Schizosaccharomyces pombe: one gene and its partners. The protein of the gene in region 2 binds, or shares a complex with, the protein of the main gene of each other region. Each region holds a gene or a part of one and is shown on either strand. Other genes may lie near its edges. The genes, in order: rpb3, rpb11, rpb9 and rpb2. A codon is read from its position in the direction of its gene.

The links.
Region 1: the proteins of rpb11 (region 2) and rpb3 are in contact, whole or in part, in a crystal structure (PDB 3H0G), measured with the Schizosaccharomyces pombe proteins. Residues at the interface, in NP_593333.1 of Schizosaccharomyces pombe: Arg6 (codon at 1,877), Tyr7 (codon at 1,880), Leu9 (codon at 1,886), Ile10 (codon at 1,889), Glu11 (codon at 1,892), Lys17 (codon at 1,910), Val18 (codon at 1,958), Leu34 (codon at 2,006), Glu37 (codon at 2,015), His39 (codon at 2,021), Thr40 (codon at 2,024), Leu41 (codon at 2,027), Asn43 (codon at 2,033), Met44 (codon at 2,036), Leu45 (codon at 2,039), Asn47 (codon at 2,045), His68 (codon at 2,154), Ile86 (codon at 2,208), Val87 (codon at 2,211), Ala90 (codon at 2,220), Lys91 (codon at 2,223), Leu93 (codon at 2,229), Ile94 (codon at 2,232), His96 (codon at 2,238), Leu97 (codon at 2,241), Glu98 (codon at 2,244), Glu99 (codon at 2,247), Ile100 (codon at 2,250), Lys101 (codon at 2,253), Asn103 (codon at 2,259); in NP_588324.1 of Schizosaccharomyces pombe: Thr5 (codon at 1,601), His6 (codon at 1,604), Ile7 (codon at 1,607), Thr8 (codon at 1,610), Ile9 (codon at 1,613), Ile12 (codon at 1,622), Val17 (codon at 1,637), Asn23 (codon at 1,655), Thr24 (codon at 1,658), Ser25 (codon at 1,661), Leu26 (codon at 1,664), Ala27 (codon at 1,667), Val28 (codon at 1,712), Ser31 (codon at 1,721), Leu32 (codon at 1,724), Arg34 (codon at 1,730), Val35 (codon at 1,733), Glu39 (codon at 1,745), Arg88 (codon at 1,938), Ile164 (codon at 2,166), Lys166 (codon at 2,172), Glu167 (codon at 2,175), His168 (codon at 2,178), Pro241 (codon at 2,397), Asn242 (codon at 2,400), Met245 (codon at 2,409), Val246 (codon at 2,412), Leu249 (codon at 2,421), Arg250 (codon at 2,424), Leu252 (codon at 2,430).
Region 3: rpb11 (region 2) and rpb9 share a complex: the UniProt entries of both Schizosaccharomyces pombe proteins name them as parts of the RNA polymerase II (Pol II) complex.
Region 4: rpb11 (region 2) and rpb2 share a complex: the UniProt entries of both Schizosaccharomyces pombe proteins name them as parts of the RNA polymerase II (Pol II) complex.

Annotation. Positions count from the first base shown.
Region 1 is NC_003421.2:1,782,364-1,788,567, reverse strand, and holds rpb3 (DNA-directed RNA polymerase II complex subunit Rpb3), read left to right. Parts: upstream 1-1,569; 5' UTR 1,570-1,588; coding exon 1,589-1,668; exon of another isoform or gene 1,669-1,710; coding exon 1,711-1,760; exon of another isoform or gene 1,761-1,806; coding exon 1,807-2,570; 3' UTR 2,571-3,129; coding exon of another isoform or gene 3,130-4,593; 3' UTR 4,594-4,776; coding exon of another isoform or gene 4,777-4,782; 3' UTR 4,783-5,671; downstream 5,672-6,204. Other genes in the region: SPOM_SPCC1442.11C (uncharacterized protein), read left to right, coding at 18-566; mrp49 (mitochondrial 54S ribosomal protein mL61), read right to left, coding at 690-957, 1,139-1,278; trp3 (anthranilate synthase component I), read right to left, coding at 3,130-4,593, 4,777-4,782. UniProt on the Schizosaccharomyces pombe protein: DNA-dependent RNA polymerase catalyzes the transcription of DNA into RNA using the four ribonucleoside triphosphates as substrates. Component of RNA polymerase II which synthesizes mRNA precursors and many functional non-coding RNAs.
Region 2 is NC_003424.3:1,432,092-1,435,349, forward strand, and holds rpb11 (DNA-directed RNA polymerase II complex subunit Rpb11), read left to right. Parts: upstream 1-1,834; 5' UTR 1,835-1,861; coding exon 1,862-1,911; exon of another isoform or gene 1,912-1,956; coding exon 1,957-2,046; exon of another isoform or gene 2,047-2,092; coding exon 2,093-2,324; 3' UTR 2,325-2,751; downstream 2,752-3,258. Other genes in the region: SPOM_SPAC3A12.06C (sodium/calcium exchanger), read right to left, coding at 1-564; mrpl27 (mitochondrial ribosomal protein subunit L27), read right to left, coding at 958-1,062, 1,108-1,284; SPOM_SPAC3A12.08 (uncharacterized protein), read left to right, coding at 3,048-3,258. UniProt on the Schizosaccharomyces pombe protein: DNA-dependent RNA polymerase catalyzes the transcription of DNA into RNA using the four ribonucleoside triphosphates as substrates. Component of RNA polymerase II which synthesizes mRNA precursors and many functional non-coding RNAs.
Region 3 is NC_003424.3:4,750,889-4,754,329, reverse strand, and holds rpb9 (DNA-directed RNA polymerase II complex TFIIS subunit Rpb9), read left to right. Parts: upstream 1-1,924; 5' UTR 1,925-1,997; coding exon 1,998-2,038; exon of another isoform or gene 2,039-2,105; coding exon 2,106-2,172; exon of another isoform or gene 2,173-2,295; coding exon 2,296-2,345; exon of another isoform or gene 2,346-2,387; coding exon 2,388-2,520; exon of another isoform or gene 2,521-2,595; coding exon 2,596-2,646; 3' UTR 2,647-2,940; downstream 2,941-3,441. Other genes in the region: sdu1 (PPPDE peptidase family protein), read right to left, coding at 1-147; pro3 (delta-1-pyrroline-5-carboxylate reductase), read right to left, coding at 688-1,536; mid2 (septin ring organizing protein), read left to right, coding at 3,071-3,441. UniProt on the Schizosaccharomyces pombe protein: DNA-dependent RNA polymerase catalyzes the transcription of DNA into RNA using the four ribonucleoside triphosphates as substrates. Component of RNA polymerase II which synthesizes mRNA precursors and many functional non-coding RNAs.
Region 4 is NC_003424.3:848,916-854,921, forward strand, and holds rpb2 (DNA-directed RNA polymerase II complex subunit Rpb2), read left to right. Parts: upstream 1-1,720; 5' UTR 1,721-1,760; coding exon 1,761-1,776; exon of another isoform or gene 1,777-1,814; coding exon 1,815-5,431; 3' UTR 5,432-5,470; downstream 5,471-6,006. Other genes in the region: sst1 (calcium permease), read right to left, coding at 1-61; rps802 (40S ribosomal protein eS8), read left to right, coding at 605-1,207; ferrichrome synthetase Sib1, read right to left, coding at 5,608-6,006. UniProt on the Schizosaccharomyces pombe protein: DNA-dependent RNA polymerase catalyzes the transcription of DNA into RNA using the four ribonucleoside triphosphates as substrates. Second largest component of RNA polymerase II which synthesizes mRNA precursors and many functional non-coding RNAs.

The DNA of each region.
Region 1 (6,204 bases), on a different chromosome or scaffold from region 2:
GAATCGTTTACAAGTACATGCTCATCGTTAACAGAAACCCGAAGAGTTTGGTAAGAGGATATTGTAAAAAAGATATTGTACTTCGTAATTTAGATGGTTGGCTATTTGATATGATCACAATTTCAACCATTTTTAAACTCTACAATCAAATTTGTTCACTTTCCTCCACTGACCGAAAAAAAACCTCAATATCTAATAAACTGCAGCAGGAATTTTGCATTATGGATATAAACAAAGTTGGCAGAAATTTTATTTCTTTAGGAAAAATACGATCAAGTAAGAGGAGAAACGCTATTTTGTCATACCAAACGATCATTAGTTCATTCCCTCATAATCATGTACAAAAACTTTTTCAAAGAACTCAATCAACAAATATGATTTATACCAAGTTAGAATATTTCGGTCATTCTTTGTTCTTTTATTTTACGGCATTTACGCTCTCGTTCAAGGATAGAAAAATCTTAATGCAAGCCGATGTATTTTTTAGACTAAAGCTCGTATTCAAGATAGCATTCTTTTTCACTCAAACAACTTTTTTAAATAAAAAAGAAAATAGGGAATTGTAGGTTTATGGATCATCAAACAAAGGAATACAGTAAACGGACTGCAGCAAAACTAAAGGTTTTTTAGAAAAAAAAAAGATGCATATTTTGTTCACTGAAAAAAAGTAATTTTAAAAGCGTTTTTGCTTAATTAGAAGGAGGTGAATAATCTTGTTTGTGCGCTTCCTTAATGTTTTCCGGGGATGACTCGTGATGAAGTTCTTTAAGCGCTTTTTGAATATCGGAAGAAATTGTTTCCAGCTGTTTTGACCGCATGTCGTACGAATAGATTACTTTGTTGTTTGAGATAATGGAAAATGTTGGAGTTTGATCGTTCGGTAAACGGTGATTAACGTTAAACTTCAAGCCGTAATTGTTGTAATACAATGAAGGAAGACATTCTTTTACAAATTTTCTAGAATTTAAAACGTTAGCAATGAACAACGCATGAAACGGAATCGTAGATCAGTGCTTCCTCACACAAAGTATTATCAAGCAGTTATTTGAGAGAATTAAACATGAATTGAGCATAAAATGTTTGAGGTACCAGTACATAGACAACATCGATGATTCTAACACGAATAAACAAAACTTACTTAGCACCCATATGTCCCAAACGGCTGTCTAAAGAATATTGAATAGATACTTCCTGAATATGTTTTGGTAAAGGAATCCCTAAAGCTCCAGCACGAATCTTGTGCAAAGATTTTTGTAATTTACCGCCTATGCTAGACATGGCGAAAATGTAAAGTTGTAGTAATAATCAGCCAAACAAAAATGAAAGAGTTTGAAACAATATGTTTTTATTCAAATATTCTGTCGGGATGAACAGAGAATATAAATATTAATGAATTAAGCCTAATGCCGTAGATTCGTACTCTCTTGTCAATTGTTGCTTGCTCTCTTTAAAAGCGAGTTCCTTGATCTCGCATTTAACGTAGTTTAGTGTGTCCTTATGCTAAATAAGGGATCACCTAACAGTGCGGAATGGGAGAAATGAGTATGAAATTCTGCAACAAGCATAGACCAAACGACACATTCTCATTATGGATTCAGAAACGCATATTACGATACGAAATATAAGTAAAAACTCGGTGGATTTTGTCCTTACAAATACAAGTTTGGCGTAAGTGAAAAGCTCTAGGAAATTCCTTCTAATAGTTGAAAGAGTTGCAAACTCGCTGCGACGTGTTGTACTTGCAGAGATTCCAACAGTGGGTAAGATTTAGGTTCATTCTTGAATTAAATACTAATGATGTTTTAGCCATTGACCTAGTTGAAATTAATGTGAATACCTCAGTCATGCCTGATGAGTTTCTAGCACATCGTCTTGGTATGATACCTCTGGATAGCTCCAACATCGATGAACCGCCTCCAGTAGGTTTGGAATATACGCGCAATTGCGATTGCGATCAGTATTGTCCCAAGTGTTCAGTCGAGTTGTTCCTAAATGCCAAATGTACTGGTGAGGGTACGATGGAAATTTATGCTAGAGATCTTGTTGTTTCTTCTAACTCTTCTCTTGGACACCCTATTCTCGCCGATCCAAAATCACGCGGACCGCTTATTTGCAAACTCAGAAAAGAGCAGGAAATTTCTCTGCGTTGCATTGCCAAGAAGGGTATAGCTAAAGAACATGCTAAGTGGTCACCTACTTCAGCTGTTGCATTTGAATACGATCCATGGAACAAGTTACAGCATACTGATTACTGGTTTGAGAATGATGCAGATGCAGAGTGGCCAAAAAGCAAAAATGCCGATTGGGAAGAACCACCGCGGGAAGGCGAACCATTCAACTTCCAAGAGGAACCGCGTCGGTTTTATATGGATGTCGAAAGTGTCGGTTCTATACCACCCAATGAAATAATGGTTCAAGGTTTACGAATTCTTCAGGAAAAGCTTGCAGTTTTAGTTCGTGATCTCGACGAAGAGCAGCCTACTCAACTTTCTGCTAACGAACTGAATATGGAGGAGAATGCAGAAATGAACTGGTCTCCCTATCAAAATGGTGAAGAAAACACGTGGTAGACTATGCTTCAATTCTTTTCTAAAAATTATCCATTTTCATCCTTTATATGTTTGTTGTTATAAAAAATACTCTAGATGCGTTTTTTTAATCATCTAAAAGTTTTTAATTTATGGCCTGCGTCCGTTCATGTCATACCTTACACATTTTTATCTAATCCTTTTTTTTTTGGCTTTTGGCTACAACATATTGTACGTATTGATATGCATATATAGAGATATATATTCCTCCCTCATATCATAATTTTGTTCTTCTTCACTTGGATTTATTATAGCTTTAGATAATTTCGTGAAAGAGAACACTTTCGGAATTGTCGTTTTGATATCTTTTTAATTTTCGGTGATTGCCTCTTGAACTCTTTGTTGGAAAGTTTATATCGGCTCACCATGCTCACAATGAATAGACAAAGTTGCTACAAGTGGACAACGAGATTACAGAATACAATTTTTTATAACGATGTTTTATTCGTTTACCAAAAATAAAGACAACAAAAAAGTTTTTAAAAACCTCAACACTTTAAAATAACATGTACAACGAGAACCGAAAGCGTCTCCTTTACTTTTATGCTGAAGAGTTTTCTTCTTCAGCGTATAATTTTTCGGTTTCCTCAATTGCAGTAACATTTGAACGTAGTTTGTTTAAAGTTTCCACGTACTCATCTTGTTCATCTGAATCAAACACAATACCACCACCGGCTTGCAAATAAACAGTTCCGTCTTTATAAACCATTGTACGGATTGCTATACAAGTATCCATGTTGTCATCTTCATAGCCCCAACGACCTACGGCTCCCGCGTATATACCACGCTTTTCTTTCTCTAATCCATAAACGAGCTGAATTGCACGGACTTTGGGAGACCCACTGACCGTTCCAGCCGGAAATATACTACGGAATGCATCAAAACGAGTTTTATCAGGTCTCAGAACACCAGAAACTTGAGAAACAAGATGCTGAACATGAGAAAACTTTTCAATAGTCATCAACTTGTCAACACTTGTTGTGTCGAGATCACAGACACGACTGACATCGTTTCTTGCCAAGTCCACCAGCATTACATGTTCAGCTCTATCCTTGACACTAGCAAGTAAATCCTTGGCATATGCCTCATCCTCTTCTTTAGTTTTTCCTCTTGGAACAGTTCCGGCAATGGGATGATTGATAATACGCCCATGCTCTGATTTAACCAGTAATTCAGGGGAAGCACCGATTATGTCGAAATCATCACAGTGGATGTAGAACATATAAGGGGACGGGTTAACTGTTCTTAAATGGCGGTACAAATTAAAAGGATGTAAATCTGTACGCCTAGCAATCCGTTGGCTTGGGACAGCTTGGAAAATATCGCCATTAAAGATATGTTCCTTGAGGTTGGAAACAAATGCTTTATACCCGTCTTCGCCTACATTTGACTTAGCTTCGTATCCTAAATGGACCTTCTTTTGCTCAGGCAAAGGAATTTCAGGACTTTCAAGTTTCTTTTTAAGCATATTGATTTTGAAAACGGCAGCTTCGTAAGCCTCTTCAATGGGTCGGCCTTGCTGAATGCAAACATGAGAAATTATCTTGACAGTCTGATAAGCATGATCGAAAGCGACTAAATCGTCGGTCATGAAAAACATAGCCTCCGGAAGACCCAAGGTATCTTCTAAAGGCATTTCAGTAGTGGGTTCAAAATATTTGATGCAATCATAAGAAACATAGCCCACAGCACCTCCACTGAAAGATGGCAGACCCTCAACAGGGGCTGTTTTAACTTCTTTCAACTCACGTTCTAAACGTGCCAAAGGATCTGTTTTTCCATTGGCCATTAATATTCTATAAGGGCTGCCAATAAAACTGTATCTTGAGACACTCTCTCCTTGAGTGACACTTTCTAAAATAAACGAATACTTCTTTCCTTGATTAAGCTTCAAGTAGGCTACTGAAGGAGTCAGCATATCGGCAGGGATTACTCCATAAATGGGAATCTTGTTAGCCTTGTGCTTTTCAGCAAGCTCTTGAACTTGTTTCAAGTCAGGATAAATCTAAAATAGTATTAGTATCATGTATTAATTTTAAGCTTCATAGCCCTAGAAACGGCGACTTTTACAGTTAAAAGCAATACAACAAAGGAAAGACCCAATCCTAAACTCGTCAATATATCCCAATACTACTATTTATTTTCCATAGGTTGGGTCTCCTTGTTAGAACAAAAAAAATCAAATTACCTTCATCTTATTGACAAGTCTATACTCGAATAAGTGCAAATTCAATAGCAAACCAAAAAAATCCCTTAAACTTGAACCGATCTATTTCCAGAAAGACAAGCAATTCCAAATTTTTCTGTAAGCGAAGAAAGAAAACAAAAGAACCAATTAATTCAACAACGTAAAGCTGCTGGAAGAAGACAACTTGTGAAAGTTGGAAAATTCATCTAAATTAGATGAAAAATATAACGGATGCGTTGGAAAACGTTATATGGTTAAATGTAAATAAAAGACTGGAAATAGGAATTAGGAAGTTATATTTAACTGCGGACAAACCGATAAAAGTATTTTGTTTTAGGATAAGATTTATTTTTTTCCTAAGCTCTTAGGCAAATTCTTAAAATGGCCAAAGTTTCGTCGAACATAAACTGCAATCTAGTTAAGATCTTGATTTCTTTTTTTTTTATTTTATTTATCTAGTCTCCTTGGTTTGATTTAAAAATGTTAAAAATAAAAGGCATTCGTTTAGATGAAAAGGGTGTGTATGTTAGCTAGAAAGTTGCAGACCTGAATAGAGGAGAAGACACTGTGTAAAAGTCCTCTACAAAATCTATGAAATTTCGTGAATCATGCGCTTATAATATTCAGAAATTGAAAAGAGGAACAACGATTATAACGAAAGAGAACTAAGAGGATTTAGGCGTTGGAATTGGTATAAGAGAATACATGACTCGCTATTAGGGCAATTCAGAATAATGTTATATTTATGCTAACAAATTTATAAATTTAATAGAGTCGACTACCCTTAGGATTTGAAGTGCGTCTTATACCGAAACGATCGAAGTGAATTAAAGTGATTGCTTGTTTAAGTGCAATTGAACAGTCAAGGCTAGTCATCTATAAATCTGAACAGTTCAACTTAATAAGCAAAAAGTAATGTTATTCGATCAAGGATTTTTCGTCTTGTGAATGATCTTGCAAGTTAATAAAAACGGAGATGAAACTCTCGAACGTATAAAAACAATCAATCGCTGGTTAAATTCAATCTTTTAGCAAAAAAGGATTTTAATTGTATAATGTATTCAATCGGGAAAAGCAAAAGAGGGTCTTTCACGCGGCACTATTTTTTTGCCTGAAAATAAATAAGTAAATAGAACAGTATCCTAAAAACAGTTTATTCAAATCCTTTTTAAACGAGTATAGGAATCTTGTTTGTTATATATTGGATCTCTGTCAGTTCAAATTCATGTTATTAAGTAGAATAAATACCTCTTTCACTTCACTCAATAAACGCAGATGCAAAAAGAAAATAGGAAAAATAGTATAGGATAAAGGTAAGATCGCACTGTTATTAAACAGTTATTTTACTTCTACAGTGTTGATTCCTCATGATTTCAAGTTAAGATATTGTCGTACAAAATCCCGATTCGGGGAATTGAGCTTCACTTA
Region 2 (3,258 bases):
AGAGCCCAAAAGTTCCCCAATAGCCATTCCCCCACTGTTGACACGTACAGCAGCGAACGTACTAAGAATATCAGGAGATCCATTGCCTAAAGCAAGAAAAGTAACGCCAACCACAGAATCGGGCAATTGAAGTAGCCACGAAATAGTAACCAAATTGGTACTAAAAAAATCACTAGCAGAAATTCCGATAGTTATGAAAAGGAAAATCAGCCATCCCACAATTATTGATAACACTGGGAATCGGAGACTGTTAATGGTACAAAAATAAAATTCAACGTAATCAAAGAACCCACTAGCCTCTCCCTTACAGTAAGCCTTTGCAAACCGACATTGATTAGCAGGGGTAATGTTTTTGATATCATTGCATGTAAGTAAAATTTGGTCGTTGCTATCATTTAAGGTATTTCCGCGCTCAAAAAGATGGACGGTTGAGTCCGAAGTCGAGGATACTGAAGCAAACGCTTTGCTAATCCGATGAGTCCAGAATAAAATGTAGGCAATGCCAAGGATACACCAAAGTAATATTAGTCTGTATTTCTTCAAGAAACATGAAGTTTTCGACATTTTTATACCTGATATCCAAGATATAGAAAATCCATGCTTAAACCGCATTGCTAGGTATTAGCAGCCCTTTTTTTTCTAAGATAGATGGGATGAAAAAGACTAATCCTATAATAAATATATAAATGCGCAGTACTCAAGATTGCCCCCAATTTTGGCAGAAAAAGTAAGAATGTAACTAGTATATTTAATAGAAGCAAACGTCACAACAGAATATCGATAAATATACGTGTCCGTAAACAATAAATAACAACAGTCAACGCAACATAAGGTATCGTAACGTAGAAATTTCTCCTTTCAAAGTGTATGCCCAATCATTAACAGATAGAATAAAGCAACAGTTGAAAAGGGTACCAAAATTTTTCAAAACAATAAAGAATGAGGCTGATAAACATACTAGCTATGAGCAAGATCAAAATACACAGCTCCATCCAACCCATTTGCACCTTCAGGATAAGTTCCTTTAGTGGCTTGAATTCGACGAGAAACAAAAGGCAAAAGCTTTGAAAGTTAATATAAAACAATATTCATTAATTTACAACATACCTCACAATCACCAGAAGGAGGCACAAACGTGCGAACACGCGACCACTGGACAAGAAAACCTCCATGCCTGGTTTTTTGACCCATTTTCCCAGTTCTTGTACCCTTGTAATACTGATGACCCAACTTTGTGGTCATTGGCAAGCGTCTTGCTCCAAAACATAATAATGATTGATGCATTTTGAATAACTCTCGATTTGGGTAAATGGAGGGTTTAAGTTGGCGCGTTTTCCGTCATAAAAGAAAAGGTAACGGTATAAGGTAACAGTCAAAGCGAAACATAGAATGTAAACAATAAAAATATTTGTTTAAAACGAACAAACGAATTACATTATGAAACTAAAAAATGAAATAAGTACGAAAAACTATTTTTTTTTCAACATTTAAATGAGCTTTCTTGTTGTTTATCTTTCTGCACAGTTCAATGAAAACAAGTACGGTTAATCTACAATTAAACGCCTCAAAATATGCCTTTAAAAATTTTAGTTATTAAAATCAGTTATTAAAAAATACTGTTACATCTCCCATTTCATTACTCGTTTGAGCCGATTTCCAACAGATAAATATATATTAAGTGTCCGTTCACGTTCGCGTTATTTATAACGAAATACGATGAGTTGTGGAATAAAGTGTTAAAGCTTTTGTTAAATGGCATTACGATTTATAGTGATGCTTAATGTACAGAACGTGGACAAAACCCTCGTAAGCATCAACATCTTACTTCTTCTTCAGCTAGTCGGCTGAAAACGTTGGCATAATGAATCAGCCAGAACGGTATGAGCTCATTGAGCTTATGGGACTCCCCAAGTAAGGAATAAACAATTTTACAAGGAATTGCATTAACCAGTGTAGAGTCACATATGAGCTCGATAGCAAATCACCTAATGCCGCAGTAGTTACTCTTGAAAAAGAGGATCATACATTGGCTAATATGCTTGCAAAGTAAGACTTCTAAATTTTTTTTTCTTTTCTAACTGCTTTTTCGAAGTCAACTCCTATCTGACGAAAGGGTTCTTTTTGCTGGTTACAAAGTTCCTCATCCATTAAATCACAATTTCATACTTCGTGTACAAACCGTAGAAGATTGTTCTCCAAAGCAGGTTATTGTTGATGCTGCTAAGTCCCTTATTACTCATCTGGAAGAAATCAAAGTTAATTTTATGCGTGAATGGGAGTTGAAAATGATATCTGTTGAAGGCGTTGAAATGGAGTTTTCCTAAAATCCACGGCTGCTTTTTCTCTAATATTTATTAGAGTTTTGTTTCAAAAAATACAGAATACCCTCTGTATGCATCTTTATTACAAAAATTTTGACTTTCGTTTTCGCAACTTCTGTAATTTGGACCGAAGTCGTATTAAAAGGGAAAATAAAAGTTTCTTTCTTTTTTGAAAACAGATGCTTTAAAAAAGGTGAAAGTTCTCCGATCTTTTATTGTATATGCTTCTTCATAAACCAACTAGAAAACTGCAGCAATGGCGATGAAAGTTTTTCTAGGTACCTGGATTATTCTCTGATATTGCTTTTTTTTTCAAAGTTGAATTTTGCTGAATGTAATCGAAGTGATTAATTTCCTACAGTAGGGCAGAGCATCGATTCTTACATTCAATCTTAAAAGAAATAAATTAATTAATGTTGTACTATTACAATTTATGTCATTGAATTATTCACAATCATCATTTTCTCTCCAAATGCTTTGCTTCAATTGCATTACGAAATTTGTTTATTCCTGTATTAGTTATTATTATAGAATACTTTTTGGATATGTAAGTAATTATATTTTCTTAAAATATACGATAAATATTCTTGCATAAATTAATGATACCCTATGCTTTGCACATATGCTCCATCTGCGTATCAGTTTTATAACGTCCGAATATCGCTAATAGTAAACGCTCCTATTACATTGTGACGAAAAGTTTGAAACTTTGTTCAATTTTTGATTATGAGCTCTAAATTATTTCAAAATAAGCTGTTATTAGCAGGGATTGGGGGATTTATGGTAGGCGGTCTAGCTTCTTGGGTTGTTTCCAGTGATGCCTATACAGCATATCATCGACTACCAGCAAGTGCGAAACATATTTCTGAAATTTCGAAATCGCCTGAAGCTGTTCAAATGATTGATAACATTTATCGCGAACGTCAACGCAGCATGA
Region 3 (3,441 bases), 3.3 Mb from region 2:
GGAGCCAGGAATTTCGTGTGCTCCGAACGCATATTCTTTACCTTCTAAAACCAATCCTGTATGGTAAATACCAAGTCCAAGAGTCCATGCTAGTTTGTTTACCGGACTGTCTGGCATTAGATCATACACATTAATGTATACTTTCATATTCGAATACGTTCGGATGGCGAAGAACAACTTGCAAATTTCCTTGGTCCTCCTTAAGCAGGTTGAATTTTAAGATTCGATACCTGTACAATTAAGTATTTTTAATAAAAAAAAGTAGAGTCGAATTAAGGATAAAAATTTAAAATACGGGAGCTGTTTATGGTGGTGATTTTGTTTACATCGGTACGACTATGACAATGTTAAAATAATCAAAACATAGTACGTTTCTTCAATATTGAATACCTTTAGCTAAATTCACTACGATAGCAATCGCAATGAAATGGGTTTAATTGCATACAACGTTCTAAAAAGTTAATGAAATATAATCTCGCTGTTCGAATACGCATATTATTAGTAATGTAACAGAATTGCAAGCTTAAACAGAGGAATCATTGAATGAAACTAAGTCACAACGCTTTAATACAACTAGATAACGAAACTAGCTTTAAAGAGGAAACAGAAGTACTAACCCAAGAATTTTATATACAAATCCATGTTTGGAACCAGGATATTTAATAGCACAAAATGAATTTGCTAGTATCATTTACCCAGGCCAGAAGCAGTCTTGGTTGCTTGTTCTATACCACGTGCGATTGTGCTTCGAATTTTTCCATCTTCCAATGCCAACAAACCACTAATTGTACATCCGGCAGGAGTTGAAACATCATTACGAATCATAGCAGGATGTTGACCTTGTAAAACCATACGACCTGTACCAACCATAGTTTGGGCAGCCAATTCCTGAGCCTGAGGGAACGGAATACCCATCATTACACCACCATCTGTCATAGCCTCAATCATAGTAGCAACAAAAGCAGGTCCACTTCCACATACAGCGGTAGCAGCATCAATAAGCTTTTCGGGAAGTTTCATTGAACGTCCAATGCCATTGAATACCCATTCAGCAAACTTTATGTCTTCTTCAGTTGCGTTGGGTCCCGGGCAAATTACGCTCATACTTTCACGGATTCGACTAGCAGTATTGGGCATAATGCGAATCACCCTAGTACTTTCATCAAGCATACTTTGCAATGAAGAGATGGTCTTGCCAGCCAAAATTGACAAAATTAATTTTCCTTTGAGCGCTTCTTTCATCTTTGGGGAATTCAAAACATCCTCTGCGGCCTGAGGCTTACAACTCAACAACAAAACGTTACTAATCGCAGCCATCTCGGCATTCTCTTTGGCCCCCATTACAACTTTAACACGATCTCCGAAAAGCTTTTGAACATCCTCTTTTTCTTTAGGAAATTTGACACAAGCATAGAACTTATTCGGAATGATAATTTCGTCAGAAACATCGTTTCCATTTTCAGCAATGGAATCAAAGATTCCAGTCAAAAGTGCTTTTCCCATTGTACCACAACCAAGAACACAAAACCCCGACATTTTTTAAAGTTATGCTTAAAAATGTTTAACTATTTTTGTAGTCTTCTTTTAAAGCGAAAATAAATTCGACTAAAGCATATGCTAAGGGATCGTTAATTCCAAAATCAAACTCATACTGTAAATTACCGTTTTACTCGCTGATGTGCATAATGTAAGATACTGAAGTATGATGTTACAAGTTTGTAGGACTAGTCCATGTTTGAATAATGCTACACGTTAAAGTCAATATATCTTCTATATAATTAGTAATATTAAGTATATCGCAAATAAATTTTAAAGCAGCTACACAGTTTTTAACGAAATCTTGTAGAGACGTTGTAGATAAACAAAAGCTTTTTCGAACTTATAGATGTGAACCATCAGGACGCTGTTGTCCACTGTATTTTCCATATCCACTAACCACCACGTTCTTTTGAAAGTTTATTGCGTTGAAGTAAAATACTTTTGTTTGCTTTTTTAAAATGTCAAATTTTCAATATTGTATAGAATGCAATAATATGCTGTACGGATTAGTTTCTCAAAAAGATGACACTGAAAATTGTTTGAAAACACTAACATGAAATAAATAGGTACCCTAGAGAGGATAAAGTGGATCGTGTTCTGAGGCTAGCTTGTCGTAATTGTGATTACTCAGAGGTAAGCTTGTTTTTTTCTCCTACTGGGTTTATTCACTTCAAGAAAAAAATTCGAAGTTCTTTTCGATTACTTTTTTCCTCATCATTTGGAAGTTTTAAATATCTCATCAGCTAATTTGTATAGATCGCTGCTACTAGTAAAGTTTATCGCCATGAGTTACAAAGCTCCAATGTGTAAGTTAGATTTCATCCTTCGAATAATCACTAAATTTGTAGAGAAAACACGACGGTCAGTCACGACGCTTCAACGGACCCTACTTTACCTAGATCAGACAAAGAATGCCCGCGTTGTCATCAACATGAAGCAGTTTTTTATCAGACTCATTCTCGTCGGGGTGATACTATGATGGTGTGTTTCGCATTGTTTCATTGAGAAAACAATTTTAATATTTAGGTTTAAAAACAATTTTACTGACTTAATTAGACTCTGATTTATGTTTGCGTACATTGTGGATTTGCTTTTGAAGAACAGTAATATGCGACAATTCGGTCTAACAAGGGATTGTAAAACTAGCTGCGTCCACCAATGGCTCTTAGACTTCGGTTTAAATGATCCGCTTGATGTAACCACTCTCTCGCTTCTGTGCTGGAAAACTGGATTTTCGAGTGATACCAGCCACCTTTGCCGAAAATGGATTTACCAGCCTCTCAATCATATGCTCGCCTCCTTCCTTTATATTAAGCAACGCGCCTACCAAAACACTTGAATTTCTTTATTTCACATTCGGTGTACCTTCTGGAATATACTGAAACTGTTTCAGTTATTTGTATACAATAATCCATACGGAATAGCCTTGTAATCCGAATACCAATTAAATAAAAACCCTTAATTCTTTGTGCCTTTATTTTTTTTTATATTCTAATTTCAGCAGAGCTGTTAAATTCCAAGGCTTTCCATAATGTTGATGACTGCTTCTCAACAGGATCAGCATGCTAAAATGTATTTAGCTGACATCCATAGAGCATTGAGAATTCCTTCTCCCATCCCAAGTACTGATTACGAATGTTCTGACTATGCCTCTACAATCGCATCGATATCTCGAGAAAGTACAATGAGAAATTTTAATCGCAGTAACATCTCGTCTACGGCCCCTTCTTTTGCTGAATCTGAGGATGCTGAAGATGGCGATAGTTTCCCTTATGATCAAACGTTATCAAATTCTTCCAGTTTTGATGATCATCAGTCTCTTCTTCCTTTTTCTACAGAAGTTCGTAGGACCCCAACTTACTCTGTCATGAATGAAACGGATAGTAGTAGTACAAGTGTTGA
Region 4 (6,006 bases), 580 kb from region 2:
GACCCTGGGTAATGGTTTCCGCAGAGCTCTCAGATTGATTTATATCAGCAGGTTGAGACATTGTAGGCGGTAGTAATTGTCACAATGATTACTTTTCCGAATCAAACCCTCGCCAAATATTCTATCCCTTAAAACACCTGTACGTAGCTAAGAGGATTGAGTAAATAGGTATTTATAAAAAATTGTTGAAGGAATAGTGAGAAAGGAAGGCATGATTGGAAAGGTTGCGATCATTTTCTATTACGCATATCATAATCAGAATACCAAATTGAAAAAAAGAACGCCAATTCTACAATATCGAAGTCCTCCCATTAGTTCGTTAATGAGCATACAATGTTTACTTCGTTAAAGATTGTCGGGATGAATTGAGCTTAATCAGAGCCGAGCATCGTTGTACAGTTTACTAAATGTAGAGCTAAGCGATAATACGCTAACTTACGGTATCGGTTTTTGTAAGAATACACCGAATTTCGTTAAGTACAAAGTATTAGTAGTAGTATGAAACAAAAATAACAGTCACAGCCAAACCCAAACAATTTCAGTTACTGTGTTATATACTAGTTCATCGTAACCACAGCAAATCTCTTTCTGCAAAAGGATCAGGATGGGTATTACGAGAGATTCCCGCCACAAGCGCTCTGCTACCGGTGCTAAGCGTGCTCAATACCGTAAGAAGAGAAAATTCGAGTTGGGTCGTCAACCTTCCAACACTCGTATTGGACCTAAGCGTATCCATGAGGTTCGTGTTCGTGGTGGAAACAAGAAGTTCCGTGCTCTTCGTCTTGACTCTGGTAACTTCTCTTGGGGCTCTGAAGGTGTTTCCAAGAAGACTCGTATCATTCAAGTCGCCTACCACCCTTCTAACAACGAGTTGGTTCGTACCAACACTTTGACCAAGTCGGCCATCGTCCAAATTGATGCCGCTCCTTTCCGTGTTTGGTATGAAACTCACTACGGTATTTTGATGGGAAGCAAGGGTAAGAAGGCCACTGCTACACCTACTCCCAAATCCAAGCATGTTCAACGTAAGCATAGCGCTCGTCTTGGCGATTCTAAGGTTGATTCCGCTTTGGAAACTCAGTTTGCTGCTGGCCGTTTGTATGCTGTAGTTTCCTCTCGCCCTGGTCAATCTGGTCGTTGCGACGGCTACATCCTTGAAGGTGAAGAGTTACATTTCTACCTTCGTCGTATGGCTCCTAAGAAATAAGGTTGTTTCTTCAATAAATTAGTTCATAAAGGAAGGAATAAAAGGATTCCGAGATTGTTGTATTTCACCTGTATTGTTGATTATTATCAGTAACCAAGGTCGTTAATTATGTAGAGAAGGTAATTTTTATTATTGGCATTTAGAAAAGTGTCTGCTAAATGTTTAGTAATCTCTCCATTTGTCCCAATCAGTAATTGAAATTCGTTTATGTGCTATTAGATATGATTTCTTTACTAAATCTCATTGAACTACGTTTAGTGAAGCCTTTACCTTTTTAATAAAAATTCACGCTAAGTAGCCTTTTACACATAATGAAAGAGTTGCGAATTGCTTTGAAAGGAAAATGGCCTTTCACGTACCTTAGCTATATTGAATGATTAAAACAAGTAAAAGATATAAAAAAACTGGTTCTTTTTTTGATGCTTAAAGACTTTTTTACTGAACACAAAGTCGAATTGCCACTACGGTACGATATCCTTGTTACGGTAGCCTCAACATTTATTCCTCTTCCTCACCGCCAACATATCCTGTTGCGTGTGCCATTTCAACAACAATGTCTTATGAGGATTGTAAGTTACTAATAAAGTCATTTTTAACACCATAATAGATCAATACAATGAGACATTGACTCAGGAGGATTGTTGGACCGTGATCTCGTCGTTTTTTGAGGAAACGTCGTTAGCTCGGCAACAATTGTTCTCTTTCGATGAGTTTGTTCAAAATACTATGCAAGAAATTGTTGATGATGATTCCACTTTAACTCTAGATCAATATGCACAACACACGGGTGCTCAAGGAGATGTTACACGTCGATACGAAATAAATTTTGGACAGATTTATCTTTCAAGGCCTACAATGACTGAAGCTGATGGTAGTACAACTACTATGTTTCCTCAAGAGGCGAGGCTTCGTAACTTGACTTACTCGTCTCCTTTATACGTTGACATGCGTAAAAAAGTTATGGTTGCTGCCGATTCTAATGTTCCCATCGGCGAAGAGGAGTGGCTTGTTGAAGAAGAGGATGAAGAACCCTCAAAAGTTTTTATTGGAAAGATACCAATCATGCTCCGTTCTACTTTTTGCATTTTAAATGGTGTTAGTGATTCTGAATTGTACGATTTGAATGAGTGCCCTTATGATCAGGGAGGATACTTTATTATCAATGGCTCTGAAAAGGTAATCATTGCTCAAGAGAGATCTGCTGCCAATATTGTACAAGTATTTAAAAAAGCCGCTCCGAGCCCCATCGCTTACGTTGCTGAAATTCGCTCTGCTTTGGAACGAGGTAGTAGGCTTATTTCTTCTATGCAGATTAAGTTAATGGCACGTAATACTGAGAATTCTGGTCAGACAATTAGAGCAACACTTCCATATATCAGGAGTGACATTCCTATCGTCATCGTGTTCCGTGCTCTTGGAGTTGTACCTGATCGTGATATTTTGGAACATATATGCTACGACCCAAATGATTTCCAAATGCTTGAAATGATGAAGCCCTGTATCGAAGAAGCATTTGTGATTCAAGATAAAGATATAGCTTTGGATTACATTGGTAAAAGAGGCAGTACTACTGGTGTTACGCGTGAAAAACGTCTTCGATATGCCCATGACATTTTACAGAAAGAGCTGCTTCCGCATATTACTACAATGGAAGGTTTTGAGACTAGAAAGGCGTTTTTCTTAGGTTACATGATCCATCGTATGCTTTTGTGTGCGTTAGAGCGTCGTGAACCAGATGATCGAGATCATTTCGGGAAAAAGCGTCTTGACCTTGCAGGTCCATTACTTGCATCTCTGTTCCGTATGCTCTTTCGTAAAATGACTCGCGATGTGTATAAGTATATGCAGAAATGCGTTGAAACAAATCGTGAATTCAACCTTACCCTGGCTGTGAAGTCAAACATTATTACCAATGGTTTACGTTATTCATTGGCTACTGGTAATTGGGGAGACCAAAAACGCAGTATGGTTAATCGGGTTGGTGTATCACAAGTTCTTAACCGATATACATTCGCTTCAACTTTATCACATTTAAGACGTACAAATACTCCTATCGGTAGAGACGGAAAATTGGCTAAACCCCGTCAGTTGCACAACACACACTGGGGTATGGTTTGCCCTGCTGAAACACCAGAAGGACAAGCTTGCGGCTTAGTCAAAAATTTGTCTCTAATGAGCTATGTTTCCGTAGGTTCACCCAGTGCTCCAATTATCGAGTTTTTAGAAGAATGGGGTTTAGAAACACTGGAAGATTACAACCCTTCAGCGTCTCCTAATGCAACAAAGGTCTTCGTGAATGGTGTGTGGTTAGGAGTACATCGTGATCCAGCTCATTTAACAGAGACGCTACGCAGCCTTCGTCGTAGATTGGACATATCTGCAGAGGTTAGTATCGTTCGCGATATCCGTGAAAAAGAGCTTCGTCTCTTTACAGATGCAGGTCGTATTTGTAGACCATTATTTATTGTGGATAACAATCCTAATAGTGAAAGAAGAGGAGAGTTATGTATTCGTAAAGAGCATATCCAACAACTAATAGAGGATAAAGACAGATATGACATTGACCCCGAACAACGCTTTGGATGGACCGCTTTAGTATCTAGTGGTCTCATTGAGTATCTAGATGCAGAAGAAGAGGAGACGGTTATGATAGCAATGAGTCCGGAAGATCTTGAAGCATCACGTCAAATGCAAGCTGGGTATGAAGTTAAGGAAGAACTGGATCCTGCACAAAGAGTTAAGCCAGCTCCTAATCCTCATGTGCATGCTTGGACCCATTGTGAAATACATCCTGCGATGATTCTTGGCATCCTTGCTAGTATTATCCCTTTTCCTGATCATAATCAATCACCTCGTAATACTTATCAATCTGCAATGGGTAAACAGGCTATGGGAGTTTATCTTACAAACTACCAAGTACGAATGGATACCATGGCAAATATCCTATACTATCCACAGAAGCCGTTGGCGACTACTCGATCGATGGAGTACCTAAAGTTCCGTGAACTTCCTGCTGGCCAGAATGCTATTGTCGCCATTCTATGTTATAGTGGCTATAACCAAGAAGACTCCATTATTATGAATCAAGCTAGTATTGATCGAGGATTATTCCGCAGTATTTTCTACAGAACGTACACGGACCAAGAAAAGAAAATTGGCATGACTGTTATGGAGGAGTTTGAACGGCCGGTCCGGTCTACAACCCTAAGGATGAAACACGGTACGTACGACAAGCTTGAGGATGATGGTTTAATTGCTCCTGGCACTCGAGTGTCAGGCGAAGATATTATTATTGGTAAAACAGCTCCAATTCCCCTAGATCATGAAGAATTAGGTCAACGTACTCAGTTACATGCAAAGCGTGACGTTTCCACTCCTTTGAGAAGCACTGAAAGCGGTATTGTTGACCAAGTAATGGTCACCACTAACCAAGAAGGCTTAAAATTTGTTAAAGTTAGAATGCGAAGTACTCGTATACCCCAAATTGGTGACAAATTCGCGTCAAGGCATGGTCAAAAAGGTACCATTGGAATGACATATCGTCATGAAGATATGCCATTTTCTGCACAAGGAATTGTTCCTGATATCATCATTAATCCACACGCCATTCCGTCTCGTATGACAGTTGCTCATTTAGTCGAATGTCAACTTAGCAAGGTTTCTGCTTTATCTGGTTTTGAAGGTGATGCCACACCTTTTACAGACGTTACGGTTGAAGCGGTTTCTAAGCTGTTACGTTCACATGGCTTTCAGTCGAGAGGATTTGAAGTTATGTACCATGGTCATACTGGTAGGAAGCTTGTTGCCCAAGTTTTTCTTGGTCCCACATACTATCAGCGTCTAAAGCATTTGGTGGACGATAAAATTCACGCTCGTGCTAGAGGACCTGTGCAAATTTTGACTCGTCAACCCGTTGAAGGCAGATCTAGAGATGGTGGCCTTCGTTTTGGAGAAATGGAACGTGATTGCCAAATTTCTCATGGTTGTAGTAGTGTATTACGAGAACGTTTGTTTGATTGTTCTGATGCGTACCGAGTTATAGTATGCGATATTTGTGGTTTGATAGCGATCGCCAGTTACAAAAAAGACTCATATGAATGCCGATCATGTCAAAATCGTACTCGGTTTAGTCAAGTTTATTTACCGTATGCTGCCAAGCTTTTATTCCAAGAATTGATGTCGATGAATATTGCACCGCGGTTATTTACTAAAAACCATAAGTAGTTTTGCTTATTTGAATAAATTAATACATAAACATAGCATGAACATACAGAAGGATGATCGGTGTGATCTTAAAGAAGCTATCATTTATTTACATAAGCTACTTAAATTGTGTTCTAACAGATATATATATTATTTATATAATAATAATGTAGTTGTTACCTAATTTCGGCTTCAATTTAAAGTTCAATTTCCTTAATAATTGTAACAAAATTGTTTATAAAAACACTGGCTTCTCTTTTGGAAAATATAGACGATTGGCAGAAAAGACCAATTTCGAGGTAACCATCTCGAATTGCCAACTCAAAATCTAACTTGGGTTTGTTTCCAAACAAAATTTCACAACCATCAATGGTGGTTTCAACTTCGTTAATCTTTAGTTCCGCATTGTTGAGTTTCAACGGGTATACGCTGAAAACTTTACTTGGTTCATTGTTATCACCAGTTGACAAGAAATTTACTGCGATATCCATCATGCCATGAACAGGGAGATCCAGCAAAGATATGTATTGTAGGTTTCCCGAAATCTCATTCAAAAAAGACTGAATTTCGAGAGCTATTTCACCTAAAGGTCTGAA